Linked DNA regions of Stegostoma tigrinum. The protein of the gene in region 1 interacts with the protein of each later gene in a biochemical or structural test. Links are inferred from orthologs where the notes say so. Each region holds a gene or a part of one and is shown on either strand. Other genes may lie near its edges.

What was found.
Region 2: the proteins of rcc1 (region 1) and ran-binding protein 3 form a complex in vitro, tested with the Homo sapiens proteins (2 studies listed by BioGRID). The link is inferred for Stegostoma tigrinum from reciprocal best matches to the Homo sapiens genes RCC1 and RANBP3.

What each region holds. Positions count from the first base shown.
Region 1 is NC_081377.1:28,042,623-28,050,538, reverse strand, and holds the start of rcc1 (regulator of chromosome condensation), read right to left. Parts: upstream 3,033-7,916; 5' UTR 2,913-3,032; coding exon 2,910-2,912; intron 2,884-2,909; exon of another isoform or gene 2,643-2,883; intron 2,585-2,642; exon of another isoform or gene 2,400-2,584; intron 2,386-2,399; exon of another isoform or gene 2,365-2,385; intron 1,085-2,364; exon of another isoform or gene 1,068-1,084; coding exon 974-1,067; intron 1-973. UniProt on the Homo sapiens protein: Guanine-nucleotide releasing factor that promotes the exchange of Ran-bound GDP by GTP, and thereby plays an important role in RAN-mediated functions in nuclear import and mitosis.
Region 2 is NC_081383.1:25,610,750-25,617,795, forward strand, and holds the start of ran-binding protein 3, read left to right. Parts: upstream 1-4,027; 5' UTR 4,028-4,106; coding exon 4,107-4,128; intron 4,129-7,046. UniProt on the Homo sapiens protein: Acts as a cofactor for XPO1/CRM1-mediated nuclear export, perhaps as export complex scaffolding protein. Bound to XPO1/CRM1, stabilizes the XPO1/CRM1-cargo interaction. In the absence of Ran-bound GTP prevents binding of XPO1/CRM1 to the nuclear pore complex.

The sequences.
Region 1 (7,916 bases):
AAACTCCCAACACATCACAGCACATAGCTGTTCTATACCTCCTGCCCCACCATTAGGCAAAAGCCAGGGGAACCATTAGATTCGCTGTGTGCCACATGGCCCAGCATCTTAAAGACTTGCATAGAGATAATACATTTCAAAACCTCGAGACTTTCAAAATCACTTCACAGCTAATGAAGTAGCTTTGTTATGGTTGTAATGTAGCAGTAGCAGCCATTTTGTCCTTAGCAAGCTTCCACATGTTGCAAATGTGTACACAATCAAAATATTTTTGCGATGTTGACCGAAAGATTAAAATATTAGTAAGTAGAACAAGCGAAAACTCCCCAGCTATTCTGTGAAATAATCCCATTAGAATTGTCCCTTTGAGACGAGATGGGAACCTCAATTTAAAATATCATTGGTAAAATGTACTGCACCAGAGAATCCAGTGCTTAGTGTGGGATTTGTAGCCACAATCTTTTGACTCAAAAGCAAGAATGGATTTCCGGTGAACCACAGATTACCCATCAAGTGAATCAGTCCGTGCCAAAATTTACATTTTATTCTGGACAACTAAATGCTTACAAAACTTGAATCCAAACTAACAACCGGCTTGATTCATAATGAGTTTTTTTTTCCTTTTGAGAATGTGTCACTACATATTTTTAAGGCAGAGCGAGACTGATTCCTTGACTGAAAAAAATCTAAAGTCATTGAGGGTAGATACAAAAATGTGGAATTTGAAAGCAAATAGATCAACCATGATATTAGGGAATGGCAGAGCAGGCTCAAGGGCCAAATGGCATACTTCAGCTCTTAATTCACATCATACAAATAAATCAATCTACCTCAGTAAAATAAAATGAGAAATCACTTATTTACTTGAAGCAAAAAGTTTTAAACTAACACAGGAAAAAATGAACAAGAGCACATTTAAATCCAGGCACAGTGCAAATTAGCTGGAATTCACAAAGCACCTGAACATACTCACTCTTTAACTTTTTACTTTCGTCACTTTCCGCTCCTTCCTCATTATCTTTTGACCTTTTCACTGATCTTTTTCCTGGCATTGTATTCTGATATTCCTGTCAAGCAACAAGCCCTGTTAGTGAAATACATATGCAGTGACTGAAAGCATCTGAGATTTAGCATAAAATTATGAGGGGCATGGGGTAAATAGCCATGGTCTTTTCCCAAGGATAGGGGGAGTCTGAATTTGTGATGAAAGTCATAAGGGTTATGGAAACAGACCCTTCAGTCCAACTCATCTATGCCGACCACGTATCCTAAACTGATCTAGACACATTTGCCAGCATTTTGCCCATATCCCTCTAAACCTTTCCTATTCCTGTACCCATTTAATGCCTTTTGAATGTTGTAATAGTACCCAATTCCTCTGGCTGCTTGTTCCATACACTCTCCAATCTCTGCATGAAAAAGATGCTCCTCAGTCCATTTTTCACCATGAACTATGCCCTTTAATTTCAGACTCCCCCTATCCTTGGGAAAAGACCTTGGCTATTTACCCCATGCGCCCCTCATAATTTTATGCAAGGCTATAAAGGTCCCATAAATTTAACCCCCAGTCTTTGATGGTCTAGGGGAAATGGCCCCAACCTATTCAGTCTCTCTCTATAATTCAAACTGTCCAATCCCAGAAAACTCCAAGTGAATCTCTTCTGAGCCTTTTCAAGTTTAACAACGTCTTTTCTATAGCAAGGAGGCTATAATTGAACACACTATTCCAAAAGTGGCCTCACCAATGTCCCATACAGCTGCAGCGTGAGCACTCAACGCACTGATCAATAAAGGTAAGCGTGCCAAACGATTTCTTCACCACCCCAACTACCTACAACTCAATTTTCAAGGAAATGTGCACCTGCACTCCTAGGTCTTTGTCCAGCAACATTCCCCAGAGCCCCACCAATTAGCTGCACAAATCCTGTCCTGGTTTGCCTTACCAAAATACACCAACACATTTCTCCAAATTAAACTCCATCTGCCATTCTTTGGCCCATGCACCAGAATACCTAGAACTGTTGAAAAAGTTTCTTTTTCTTTAATGTCTAACAATCCCAAGGAATAATAGACTATTTCAGATCATCGTAACTCGCTGTATCAAGGATAAAACAAAACCTCCACGCCTCTCCGGTTCCAAGGGCACTGTATTAAACGTTTACATATTTAAGAAAATGATCCTAAGTTCCGTCATTGTGTAAACGTTGGAAAATTACCCGCTCACACAAACTTCGTGCGGGGCCCCCAAGTACGTTCAAAGGTCTGAAATCTCTCCCCATCATCCAACAAACCGACCACAGGGCCAACACACTTTAACTAAATACCACCCTCCAGAGGAGATGCCGAGGCTGAGTTAATACACACAGGGCGAGAGGAATCACAACAAACAGCGCGAAGACCTCAGTAAGGTGACGGTGCGGAGATGGTGACTCTGGATGGTTTGTCAGCACCAGGCCCCAGCGAGGAGCTCCCAGCCCGATATCCGAGGAGGGTGGTGGAAGGAGGCTCCCAGCCCGATATCCGGGGAGGGTGGTGGAAGGAGGCTCCCAGCCCGATATCCGGGGAGGGTAGTGGAAGGAGGCTCCCAGCCCGACCAGAACCGCCGCTTTTAAAACTCCCGCGTCCGGAATCAAACTACTCACCTTCCCCCAACCCGTTTAAGAAAAAAAAACTTTACTGACAAAGCGAGTTAGCCCAGACAAAACATTGGTCGAGCTGACAAAGGGAAAGGGTAGGACGGGGATCAGAGTTAGTCAGGTTGGAGGCCGCACTCGCAGCAACATGGGGAGGGAGGAAGAGAGAGAGAGTGGAGACTAGGACTGCAGTCTCCGAACATTCCAGAAGATCCCCGTCCCCACGGGGTATGCCGCCTTCGCCATGACTTCGCCATTACGGAAGCACATATTTACCATTTCCTCTCACAGACCTGGCCCGTAAGCTCTCGCTCTCGCTCTCCCTCTCCCCGGGACACGCTCGCGCTCTCTCCCGGTTCAGGCAGCGCCTGCGCACACGGCACAGAGGAGCCCGCGCGCTCCGTTTGAATTGAGAGGTCCGTCGGGCGGTGGGGAAGCGGGAGGAGAGACCGGTAAAGCGGGATTCAGCACCATCCCACCCCCCGAAGGCAGGGGGTTCCGTACCGAGAGGCTGCCCCTGACACTCCCTAAAGACAGAGAACCGGTATTCGGCGCTACAAGCCTGCCTGGCCGATCCTCTCCCTACCCCACCCCACAGGCAGCTTGCCTGTGTCTGTCCATCTCCCTACCTCTACCCCAACCCCACAGGCAGCCTGCCTGACCCTCTTTCTCCCACCACACCACCTGCACGGTCAACAATAACCAAAAACATAGCATTCGTTTCCCCATCCCACCCATAACATGCAGCTGTACCCACCTCTCTACTCATTTCCTGTTGCTAAAACTTCCCAATATAGGGGATTGCTTTTGGTCCCCATTCTAAACGCTCACCTACTGACTTTTTTTAACGTTGTCTCTAAAGGAAACTATAGCCTGCAAGAAAGAACTGTTTCGAAAACAGCGATTTAACCCTCTTGTGGCGCAGTAGTAAGGACTTCTGGATCAGGAAGCCCGGTTCAAGTCCCACCTGCACCAGAGGTAAATAGGAACATCTTGAAACAAGGTGGTTAGAAAAATGGGTTTACCAGGCTTGCTGCATAATGTCATAGCAAAGAATCGATACGTGTTGTAAACTCCATCTTGTCGTCATGAGTTCCTGTATGAGATGATGAGTTTACAAAACTGATTGGTCGTCAATTAACATAGCAGGTTGGAACTGCAAGCAAGTTTCAGATCCAGGGGTAATGGGAACTGCAGAATCCAAGATAACAAAGTGTGGAGCTGGACGAACACAGCAGGCCAAGCAGCATCTTAGGAGCACAAAAGCTGACGTTTTGGGCCTAGACCCTTTCCTGCAGTACTTGTGATGACCTGTGACTTCTGAATTGGTAAATGTCTTCTTTCCCCCAGCCTTTCAACTGGTCTGTGATACTTACAAATCAATGTAAATTTTCAGAGACATCTAACAAGGAACTAGCCGATAAATTAACATCTCACCATCAGAACCGAGAAGCAACGACCATTGAACTTTTTTTTCTGATGAAGGGTCTAGGCCCGAAATGTCAGCTTTTGTGGTCGTAAGATGCTGCTTGGTCTGCTGTGTTCATCCAGCTTCACACTTTATCTTACATTGAACAGACTTCCTGGTCTTTTTTATACTACAGCAATTAATCTATCTACTTATATAATTTTAAGGGGATTAGATTAGTTGTCAGAATTTAGCTAGAAATAGGAGGGTTTGAGTTTCGAGGCTGGGATTTTTTCACCAGAGCACAGAAAGTTGAGAGGTGGCATCATTGAGGCTTATAAAATAATAAAAAGGTATAGAAGAGGTGAGTGGCAGGTGCCTTTTCCCTAGGATGTGTGATTTCAAGAGTAAAAGGACATATTTTCTAAGGGAGAGGAGAAGGAGTTGAAAGACAGTTGGGGCAGTTATTTTACAGAGACTGGTTCGTGTGTAAAATGAACTTTGAGAAATGGTGAGAGTTACAACATTAAAAAGACATTTACATAGATACAAGTAAAAAATGTTTGGAGGGCTATGAACCAAGCACAGGCAAGGTGGGACTGTTTTAGTTTGGGTCTGTGGTCGGTAAGGACAGGCTGGTCTGTTTGAACTGTATGTCTATGTTTTAGTCATCTACCCCAATATATCTTGCATGGCTATTCAAATTGTTTCCTAATGCTCCTGTACCATGTTTGGACAAGTTAAAGTTGTTGCCACTAACTACATTGGTTAATATTGTTACACTGGCACAGGGTTACATATTGCCCAGAAACAAATTCACTCATTTTTGAATGGTGATATGAGATTTATAGGGAAAGACACAACTGCACTTTTGATGGTACAGCACATCCCCAACAATGCACTAAAGTGTCAACCTAAAGTTTTGTTGACTGGGAACTGAACCTACAACCTTGATTTACAATGGGATTGTTACTAGAGTGGTCAAAGCTTGGAAGCCTGTCCCACAGAGCAAACTCATACTTGAGGACAAAATGGAGTAAAAGCACGTAAATAAACGTGAATAAGGTGTAGAGCTGGATGAACACAGCAGGTCAGGCAGCATCAGAGGAGCAGGAAAGCTACTTTGAGTCTGGGCCCTTCTTCAGATTCCAGCATTGGCAGTTTGTACTATCTCTAAATAAATGGGAGTTTTCAGACAGATCAACAATGAACAGCCTCAAGCACCTGAATGATCTGTTTTCAAAGCAAAGGAAAATGGTGTAAAAATCAATCCATGCTTGCATTACGTTTCACCAGGAGGACATTCAAATCCATTACAGCCAAAATAATTGTTTTGAAATGTGGTCAATGTTGAAACAAATTAATGGAGTGAATCAGGTGGAAAGTCAAAGACAGACCATGGCAATGGAGAAAAACTGATCTCTTGCATTTTAATTTTATTTAAATATGCAAAACATACAAAAGTTTAGTGATAACTTGGTTTTGTACATAGTTGCATATACAACTCAAACAGCACTCGTGTGAAGTACACCACAGCTGGTGAAGCAGTATCTGAAATAAAGCAGATATAACAGCAGATTAGTAAGTGGACAAGATGCAAATAAACATACCTATCTAAACATCTTTTCAAAGATCCAAATGGCATCTACAAATCAAAATGACTGCCACTTGTAAAGCTATTTTATAATCTGCTGCCAGGACATTTTATACCTAATACACATTCCTATATGACAGGATAGGAAGTACTATTGTGTGACAACCATGCTTTCAACATTATGAAAGCTCACAAGCCAGAAGATAAACCAATATTCCACTTCTTTGCAGGCATCTCATGTTTCTGGCATGATCACATCTTCAATGTCTCTTATTTATCCCTCACCCAGATAGGAGTTGCCAAGTTTTACAAATGCGACAATGATGCCAATGTGAAAACTTTGCATTTTATTTTTCTCACCAAAGTCAGGGCCAAAGAATAATGTGAAAACTTATTTGCTGCCTTGACAACACAAATCAAAGATGCCTATGTAAGGATTTAGATCTATTCTTATTGTGTTCTGCATGGTTTATCTCCACAGTCACTGTTCAGATTGCAAAGGTCTAGGAATATACAGGATGCTGTCCTCACCAGCTGAAAGCCAGGGACATGCTTTCTCTCCAACGTCGCGGAACGGGACTGTGTGTCACAGACAGAATGTCTACACTCCCATATGCCACATGGACAGAGCCAAACAAGAGCAACCTTGCTGGATGCCCACGTTGGGTTTTCAATTTCTGAAGTCATGCAAGAAAAAAAAGAGAGAAAAAAATCACCTTCACCACCATGCATTTAATTTCAGCGTTCCTGGTTTACAGCCTCTGCTTCATTCAGGATGGATAAAATACAGTCTTCACTGCAGAACAAGCAAAGTTCATCAAATAATTACAACAAACCTTGACACTTATTATAGAACAATATAATCTTCTCTTCACAACAGTCCAGACCAAACATCTCTAATTTTCCAATTCACAATCAACTGTACCCTGCATGGTTTATCTCCTCAGTCATCTTACACACTGAGAAGGTCTAGGAATATACAGGATGCTGTCCTCACCAGCCCGAAAGCCAGGGACATGCTTTCTCTCCAACGTCGTGGAATGGGACTGTGTGTCACAGACAGAATGTCTACACTCCCCTACGCCACATGGACAGAGCCAGACAAGAGCAACCTTGCTGGATGCCCACGTTGGGTTTTCAATTTCTGAAATCAGGCAAGATAAAAATTCACCTTCATCACAGTGCATTCAGTTTCTGCATTCCTGGTTTTCACCATCTTCCTCATTCAGGATGGATAAAATACAGTCCTCACTGCAGAACAAGCACAGTTCATCAACTAATTACAACAAACCTCGATCACTTACTACAGAAAAATATTATCTTATCTTCACAACAGTCCAGACCAAACATCTCTAATATGTTCCAATTCACAATCAACTGTACCCTGCATGGTTTATCTCCTCAGTCACCTTACACACTGAGGTGGTCTAGGAATATACGGGATACTGTCCTCACCAGCCCGAAAGCCGGGGACACACATGCTCTCCAACGTTATGGAATTGGACTGTACGTCATTGACCCCAGAGGCCTACGCTCCCATGCGCCACATGGACAGAGCTAGATGTGAGCAACCTCGCCAGATACCCACGTTGGATATATCACAGAAACACAAGCCCACTGCTGAACTTTATTTATAAAAACGGTAATTGTTAACTGGAAAATCAACTTAGATTTTTATTGTGCAATAGAGCTAATGTACAAGGAATATTCACATAAATGCTTACCTCTTACTTCACATCCAACTTTTCCCAAATGATCCCCATGAACTTGTCAATTCAAAATCACTCAGCTGTTCTTGCTATCCCCAGCTGTCTTCCAACAAATGTTGCCCCTGCAATAGAAAAAGTTCAGTGTTAAATTTGGAACTCTTCCACAAGCATCCAATTCAAACAACAGTCGTCAAAAGGAGGTCAAATTACCTCCAAAGTGATAACAATGCTCGCCTCAGTAATCAGTAAACTTGAGTTCAGGATGAGAATTAACAACCCGCTAATTTCTAACTGAAGTGACCTGGGCACCATCAGCTTGAAAGCATTTCTGAACTATCAGGAAATAGATTTTTATGAAAGATTCTATAAACAGGAATCCTATCCTCAGAATAGCAACTATTGAGCAGTAACTTATCCAGAAGTTTTTTGGGATTTTGAAAGAAATCAACACAGCAAATACAGAACTTCTTCCTGCTAGTATATTCAGGTGAAACAACATTAGAATCAGTCAGGGAGTTGGTCATGTCAGGAAAAACATCTTCACACAATACAGTTGAATTGTGGAACTTTCC
Region 2 (7,046 bases), on another chromosome or scaffold:
GTAGGAGAATGAGGAGTGACCTTTTTGAGCTATATAAAATCATCAGGGGCATGGATAGAATGAATGCATATAGTCTTTTTCCTAGGGATGGGAACTGAAAACTAGAGGGCATAGATTTAAGATGAGAGATGATAGATTTAAGAAGGACCTGAGGGGCAACTTTTTCACACAGAGAGTTGTGTATATATGGATTGGGTTGCAGGAGAAAATAGTTGATGCTGGTACAATAGCAACATGTAAAAAAACACATTTGGAATAGGAACATGGAAGAGAAGAGTTTAGAGGGATATGGACCAAATGTAGGTGATTTGAACTAGCCAAGTGGGCACCATGGTCAGCATGGACCAGATTGGGTTGAAGGTCCTGTTTCCGTGCTGTATTACTCGATGACTCTTATGAACACCGTAGTCTTAAATTCTACGCCTGCATTAACAACGGAAAGCATGGCATTTGGTCTCCTAACTACTTTCTGAATCCCAGCTATTTGTGACATATGTCAACTAATTCAATGGGGGAATCAACTGCGATATTGCATTTCCCGCAACACATCCCTCACACCCCACCCCCACAATAACCGCCCTAAGAGAATCCCCCTCGTTCTCACACACCACCCCACCAACCTCCGGATACAACGCATCATCCTCCGACACGTCCGCCATCTACAACCAACCCCACCACCCAAGACATTTTTCCATTCCCACCCTTGTCTGAGTTCCGGAGAGACCATTCTCTCCGTGACTCCCTTGTCCGCTCCACACTCCCCTCCAACCCCACCACATCCCGCACCTTCCCCTGCAACCGCAGGAAGTGCTATACTTGCCCCCACACCTCCTCCCTCACCCCCCTCCCAGGCCCCAAGATGACTTTCCATATTAAGCAGATGTTCAACTGCACATCTGCCAATGTGGTATACTGTATCCACTGTACCCGTTGTGGCTTCCTCTACATTGGGGAAACCAAGCGGAGGCTTGGGGACCGCGTTGCAGAACACCTCCACTCGGTTCGCAATAAACAAACGCACCTCCCAGTCGCGAACCATTTTAACTCCTCCTCCCATTCCTTAGACGACATGTCCATCATGGGCCTCCTGCAGTGCCACAATGATGCCACCCGAAGGTTGCAGGAACAGCAACTCATATTCCGCTTGGGAACCCTGCAGCCCAATGGTATCAATGTGGACTTTACCAGCTTCAAAATCTCCCCTTCCCCCACTGCATCCCAAAACCAGCCCAGCTCGTCCTCTCCCCCCCACTGCATCCCAAAACCAGCCCAGCTCGTCCCTGCCTCCCTAACCTGTTCTTCCTTTCACTTATCCCTTCCTCCCACCTCAAGCCGCACCTCCATTTCCCACCTACTAACCTCATCCCACCTCCTTGACCTGTCCGTCCTCCCGGACTGACCTATCCCCTCACCACCTATACTCTCCTCTCCACCTATCTTCTCCTCTATCCATCTTCAGTCTGCCTCCCCCTCTCCCCATTCCCCTCTCTGATGAAGGGTCTAGGCCCAAAACATCAGCTTTTGTGCTCCTGAGATGCTGCTTGGCCTGCTGTGTTCATCCAGCCCCACACTTTGTTATCTTGGATTCTCCAGCATCTGCAGTTCCCATTATCTCTGCAATATTTCAATGTTTGCTACTGTAAAAACTAGGGGGATGTGTGAGTTGTGATGAGGATATCAAGGTGGTTCAGCTTATTTAGACAAGTTGAGTGAGTGAGTAAATAGACAGCAGACACAGGACAACATAGATAAATGTGAAGTTGTCCACTTTGATACGAAAAGCAGTGTGGCAAAGCATTATTTAAATGGTGGTAGACTGGGAAATGTTAATGTATGACACGACACAGGAGCAGACATAGATCTTCAGCCCATCATGTCTTCTCTGCCATATAATGAGATCAAGACTGATGTGATAATCCTCAACTCCACTTTGCTTCATTTACAAAGTGACAGGTGCTTATGCATCAGTCATTGAAGACAAACGTGTAGGTCCAGCAAGACATTAGGAAGTCAAATGGTATGTTGGCCTTCATTGCAAGAGGGTTTGGGTATGGGATTGAAATCATTTTACTGCAGCTGTCCAAGGCCTTTTGAGATCACAACTGGATACTATATGTAAAAAAGTATATTGTTGCCGATAGAGGAAATGTTATGCAAGGTCACAAGACTGAATCGTGGGATGGCAAGTTTATTCAAAAAGGACAGATTATATTGACTGGATGTGTTTTTACTGGAGTTTAGCAGAATGAGAGGTGGTCTCATTGAAACTTAAAATTCTGATAGGGATTGACAGACTGCCTGGAGGGATGGTGATTTCCCTGGCCAGCGATCCCAGAACAAGGGGTTACAGTTTCAGGGTACAAGGTTACATATTTCAGACTGAAATGAAGAGAAATTTCTCCACTCAGTAGGTAGTGAACATGTGAAATTCTCCTCAAGATGAAGCCGTAGTATTGAAATAACAGATCAGCCATGATGATGTTGAAAGGTGGAACAAACTCGATGCACTTATTTTCTATGTTTCTAGCCTGTTCTGTTTTCAAGGATAGGTGCATTCTAAAATTCCAAAGGACCTCTGTTCCTCTATAAGAGTCAGTATCATCCTGGTTAACATATATCCTCTTGTCTATTGTACTACTTCTCTTGTTGGAATTTTCTTTTTCATTTTCTGCCCAACCAACCTGCTCATCTACATCTTTCTGCAGTCTAAACCTTTCTTTTCACTGTCAAAACTCACACTGTTGCCAAGATTCATTTCAGTTAAAATATTTTTATCATGCATCTTGGATTACAGCCTACATCAAAAATATAAACTAAAAAACCCAAGGGTCAAGTACGGAGTCCTGCAGATCTCCCATGGAAACATGACTTCCAGCAGCAAAATAACCTGTCAACAACTAACTTTTGCTTCATGCCACTAAGCCAATTATGGATCCAAGGTGGCACTCTCTTTTGGCTTATACATTTTTGACCAGGTTGCTACGATTTTGTGAAAAGCCTTGCTAATATCCAAATAGGTTGTATCCATGCTGATTTTTAAAAATTAGTCGACTTTTTGAACTGAGATTGCTCTAGACACTACTGATCTTCTTGGTATTTAGCATAGACAACATTTGCTTGAGAGAGATGCCTCTGATTTTACATGCAGTTGCCTCCACATTGTGCTCATAGCACTACAGAAGAGAAACAAAAATTACTAAAACAAAACAGGAGAGTAGAACTAGGCACGTTGGTCTTGCAGAGACAGGATGAATCGCAACGCCCACTGTGTTGCAACCATTTTATGTTTCTAATGATGAATTATATCAATTTCAGCTACAGATCACATTCCCACATTGTAGCAGCGAGGCCAGCCATGTTGAACCCTCAAAAGATGTCCACCTCTCACTCTAAAAACAACAGACAATGCTGCAAATACGCAGCAGGTTTGGCACTATCACTGGGGCGAAGAATGTTCCAACTCCATGACCTTGATCATCTATGGTCGGTCCCACAGATGCACTATAACCAGCATTTCCGTTTTGACTTCAAATTCCCATCATCCGGGATGCATTGTTTTTGTTTTGACGCACTCTAATCCCAGTGGCCTGTTTGATATAAACTTCCTCAAACAGAACGAGTTAGAGATTAAACTCGGCTCACCATGCGGAGGCGCATGCGCTCTGCTGCCGCGAACGAGTCATTTAACAGGCGATTTATTCCCGTCCCTGCTCTGTCGATCACTCACGAAGCCGCCGCTGCCTGTTGGGTGACTGACTGACTATGAAACCGCTTCCTGAAAATAATCTCCGATCTCTCCACCCCTCACCGTCCCTCCCCGACAACGGACAGGTCACCAGCTGCAAGCAGGCAGCGCAAGCGCACTACACGGACCGTTGGTCATTGACGGTTAGCCCCGCCCTGAGCAACATGTGCGCGTGCGCTCTCTTGGAGACTTCTGTCATCGGTAGTTTCCCTGCAAGCACCGCCGGGCACTCAGCAACAAGTGCGCACGCGCGATTCTGCACCCCTCCCCACCCCCAAAAAGTGGCGCCTCTGAGGATAAGCCGCATGCGCATTGCTACTTTCCGTTCGCGGTGAATTGTGGGGACGCGGAGAATCCTAAAATGGCGGATCTAGCCAACGAAGGTAAGCAGGTGAAAATGAGCATGGAGCGCGGCTCAAGCGAGGTGTTGGGGGTGTAGCTTCTTTAGTCCAAGATGTGCACGCAGCTGCCTCAGGTTTCTGCCTCAGGTTTCTGCCTCAGCCTCAGTGCAGTGTCGGTGTCCGCTGAATGGGTAGACTAAGGGGAGGAACGAGTTGCACACACCCACAACAAAACACCGGCTAACCAGGCCAAAGCGTCAAACAAATCAGTAACAAAATCAAATAGTGTTAATCGTTTGGATAGTTACAAGAGGAAGGGGTAAGGCTCGAAAAGAAAGTATGTGTCTGTTAGAGGTAAACGGTGAGAAACAGAAAGTGATTGAAACATAAACCTGCCAGAAAACGGGAAGGGGGAGCGTTCGAGAAGGAGAATTAGGAAATGAACGGTGAGATAGAAAGCTCCGAAAGTGATTCGGAAAGAAAACAGTAAGAGGGAGAAAGCCACCAGGGCAGTGGGTGGGGTATAATAACAGGGTTAAGGGAAGAATCAGTGTGGGTAGCAGCAAGAAAAGAAGGTGGTTGGTAAGGGAGTGATCGGGGAGGAGACACAAGGGGAAATTAGTAATGCGGCAAGATTAGATTCAGCGAGTTGTGATCAGACCGGACGGTGGTGTGAACGAGTGAAATGAGGGAAATGGCAGAAGGAAATTGTGATGAAAGCAGATGGGAAGAGACAAGTTGGATAGAGGGGGAGTAGGAGGGTACAAAGTGCAGAGAATGTAATTTGGAGTATGCCACTAACTTGTTGAGCCTGTCCATCGTTCAGTAAGGTCATGGCTAATGTGGGTTGAGGTCTCCACTTCACTTCCTTTTTGACCAAAAATCTCTCAAGTTCAATCTTGAATAAATTTAAAGTCCCAGCATCCACTACCTTTTAGGGAAGTGTGTTCCACGTACAATAGATTCAGGAAAAATAATTGTCAGCTCTGTCTTACAAAAGAGAACTCGTCTTAAACTGTATCTGTCGGTTTCAGTATCTGCAAGAGGATATATCCTCCTGGCATCTATTGTTCACTGCCCTTGAGATCTTGTATGCTCAATTCTGGATGTAGGTCTAACCTGTTCAACCTTTATCATAAAATAAGCCCTTCACCCCAGTCCAAAGTGATGGAGGTGAGTGAAGAACCTTGGTGCTAGAGAAGAACGTGAAGGAGTAAGGGACAGATGAGAAATGCAGAGATGAATAAGAGAAATCAATAGAGAAATCATAGGCTATTTAGCCTCACTGTGTTCAATTACAGATTAGCTGTGGTTTAGCTCCGTTTTCCAACCTTTCCTCCATATCCTGGTGATTTCTCATCAGAAGATTTCAGTTGACTCAGAATCTAGAATTTTCTCAACACACTGCTTGTGTGGGGAAATATGCTAGCTAATCCCTCTCCCAAATTGCTAACCTATTTTGAGGTTGTGCATCCATATTCTGGATTCTCTTATCTCAGGAAATGGTTTCTTTGTACCTACCCTATCAAATCTCTCTGATTTTAAGGACCTTATTTGGATCAAGCTTCTAAACAAAATCAAACCAAGTTTTGCAAACTCTTCATTTACTCATTTTATCCCTGATAGCATCATAAATGAGGATTTGTAGGTCATTTGAGAGCAGATAGTTCTGGTAGAGGTGAAAACTATTCTCACGAAAGGGAAGGGAAGGATTTCAAGTCCCTGGATGACTAAAGATAAGCAGATTAAAATGAAACAGGAAGAAGTTTATGATAAAAGGACAGTTTCATAATTGAGTAGACAACCAAATCAAAAAGAACTGGTCCTGACCCGAAACGCTAGCTTTCCTGCTCCTCTGATGCTGCGTGGCCTGCTGTGTTCCTCCAGCTCCACGGTGTGTTTTCTCTGACTCCAGCAATGACAGTTCTTATTATTGCTGACAAATATAATGAGTGGGATAACTGGTTAGAATCATATCTAGTACCAAGATAGATAATGGCAGTTGATCAAGGCCTTCAGCTCAGCCTGAGGACAATGCTGCTGTAACTCTTCAGATGGCCTCCAACCCCAACTATTGGTGGCTGTTTCATCAACAGCTTTTCTCCCATGCTGAGTAGGAATGGTCATTGTGATTGTGCAGTTGTCAGTACCACTCACAATACCACAACCACTGTAATAGTCAATGTCTTTATGCAGCAAGTTCTCGATATCATTCAGGCATGGACTGATAGTAACAATTAACATTTCTGCTGCACAAGTATTGTGCAATGACCAATTTCCGAAGGGCAAATCTAACTCTCACTCCTTGATTAATACAAAGAACTGTGGATTGTGAAAATTCAGAACAAAAGCAGAAATTGTTGGAGGAACTCAGCAGGCATAGCAGCATCTGTGGAAAGAAAGCAGAGTTAAAATTTCAAGACCAGTGATCGATCCTTCTTTGCTGTTTGATATTCAATGGCATTACAATGCATATATCAGGAGTGTGATGAAATCCACTCCACTTGGAAATATAAGCATAGAAAGTTGGAGTAGGCCATTCGGCTCTACAAATCTGCTTTGCCATTCAAAATGTTCGTGGTAGATCAGCCAACGCAGTACCTTCTCCTGCTTTTTCCCCATGCCAGTTGATCCCTTTAGTCCTAACAAGTATATCTAAGTTCTTCTTGGAAGCACTCACATGTTTTAGCCTCAGCCACTTCAGTGGCGGAGTAAATACACAGGCTCATTACACTGGGGGAAGGATTTCTTCCAACATTCAAGAAGCACGACACCAGAACAAAGCAGCCCACTTGAGTGGCACCTCATCCACGATATTAAACACCAATTCCTTCCACATCCAGTGGTAGCAAGACTGTATCAAAAACAAAATGCTTTGCAGAAATCTGCCAAGCCTCCAACAACAGCACCTTCGATATTCATGACTTCTGCCACAAGATCAATGGGCATAAGGGAACACC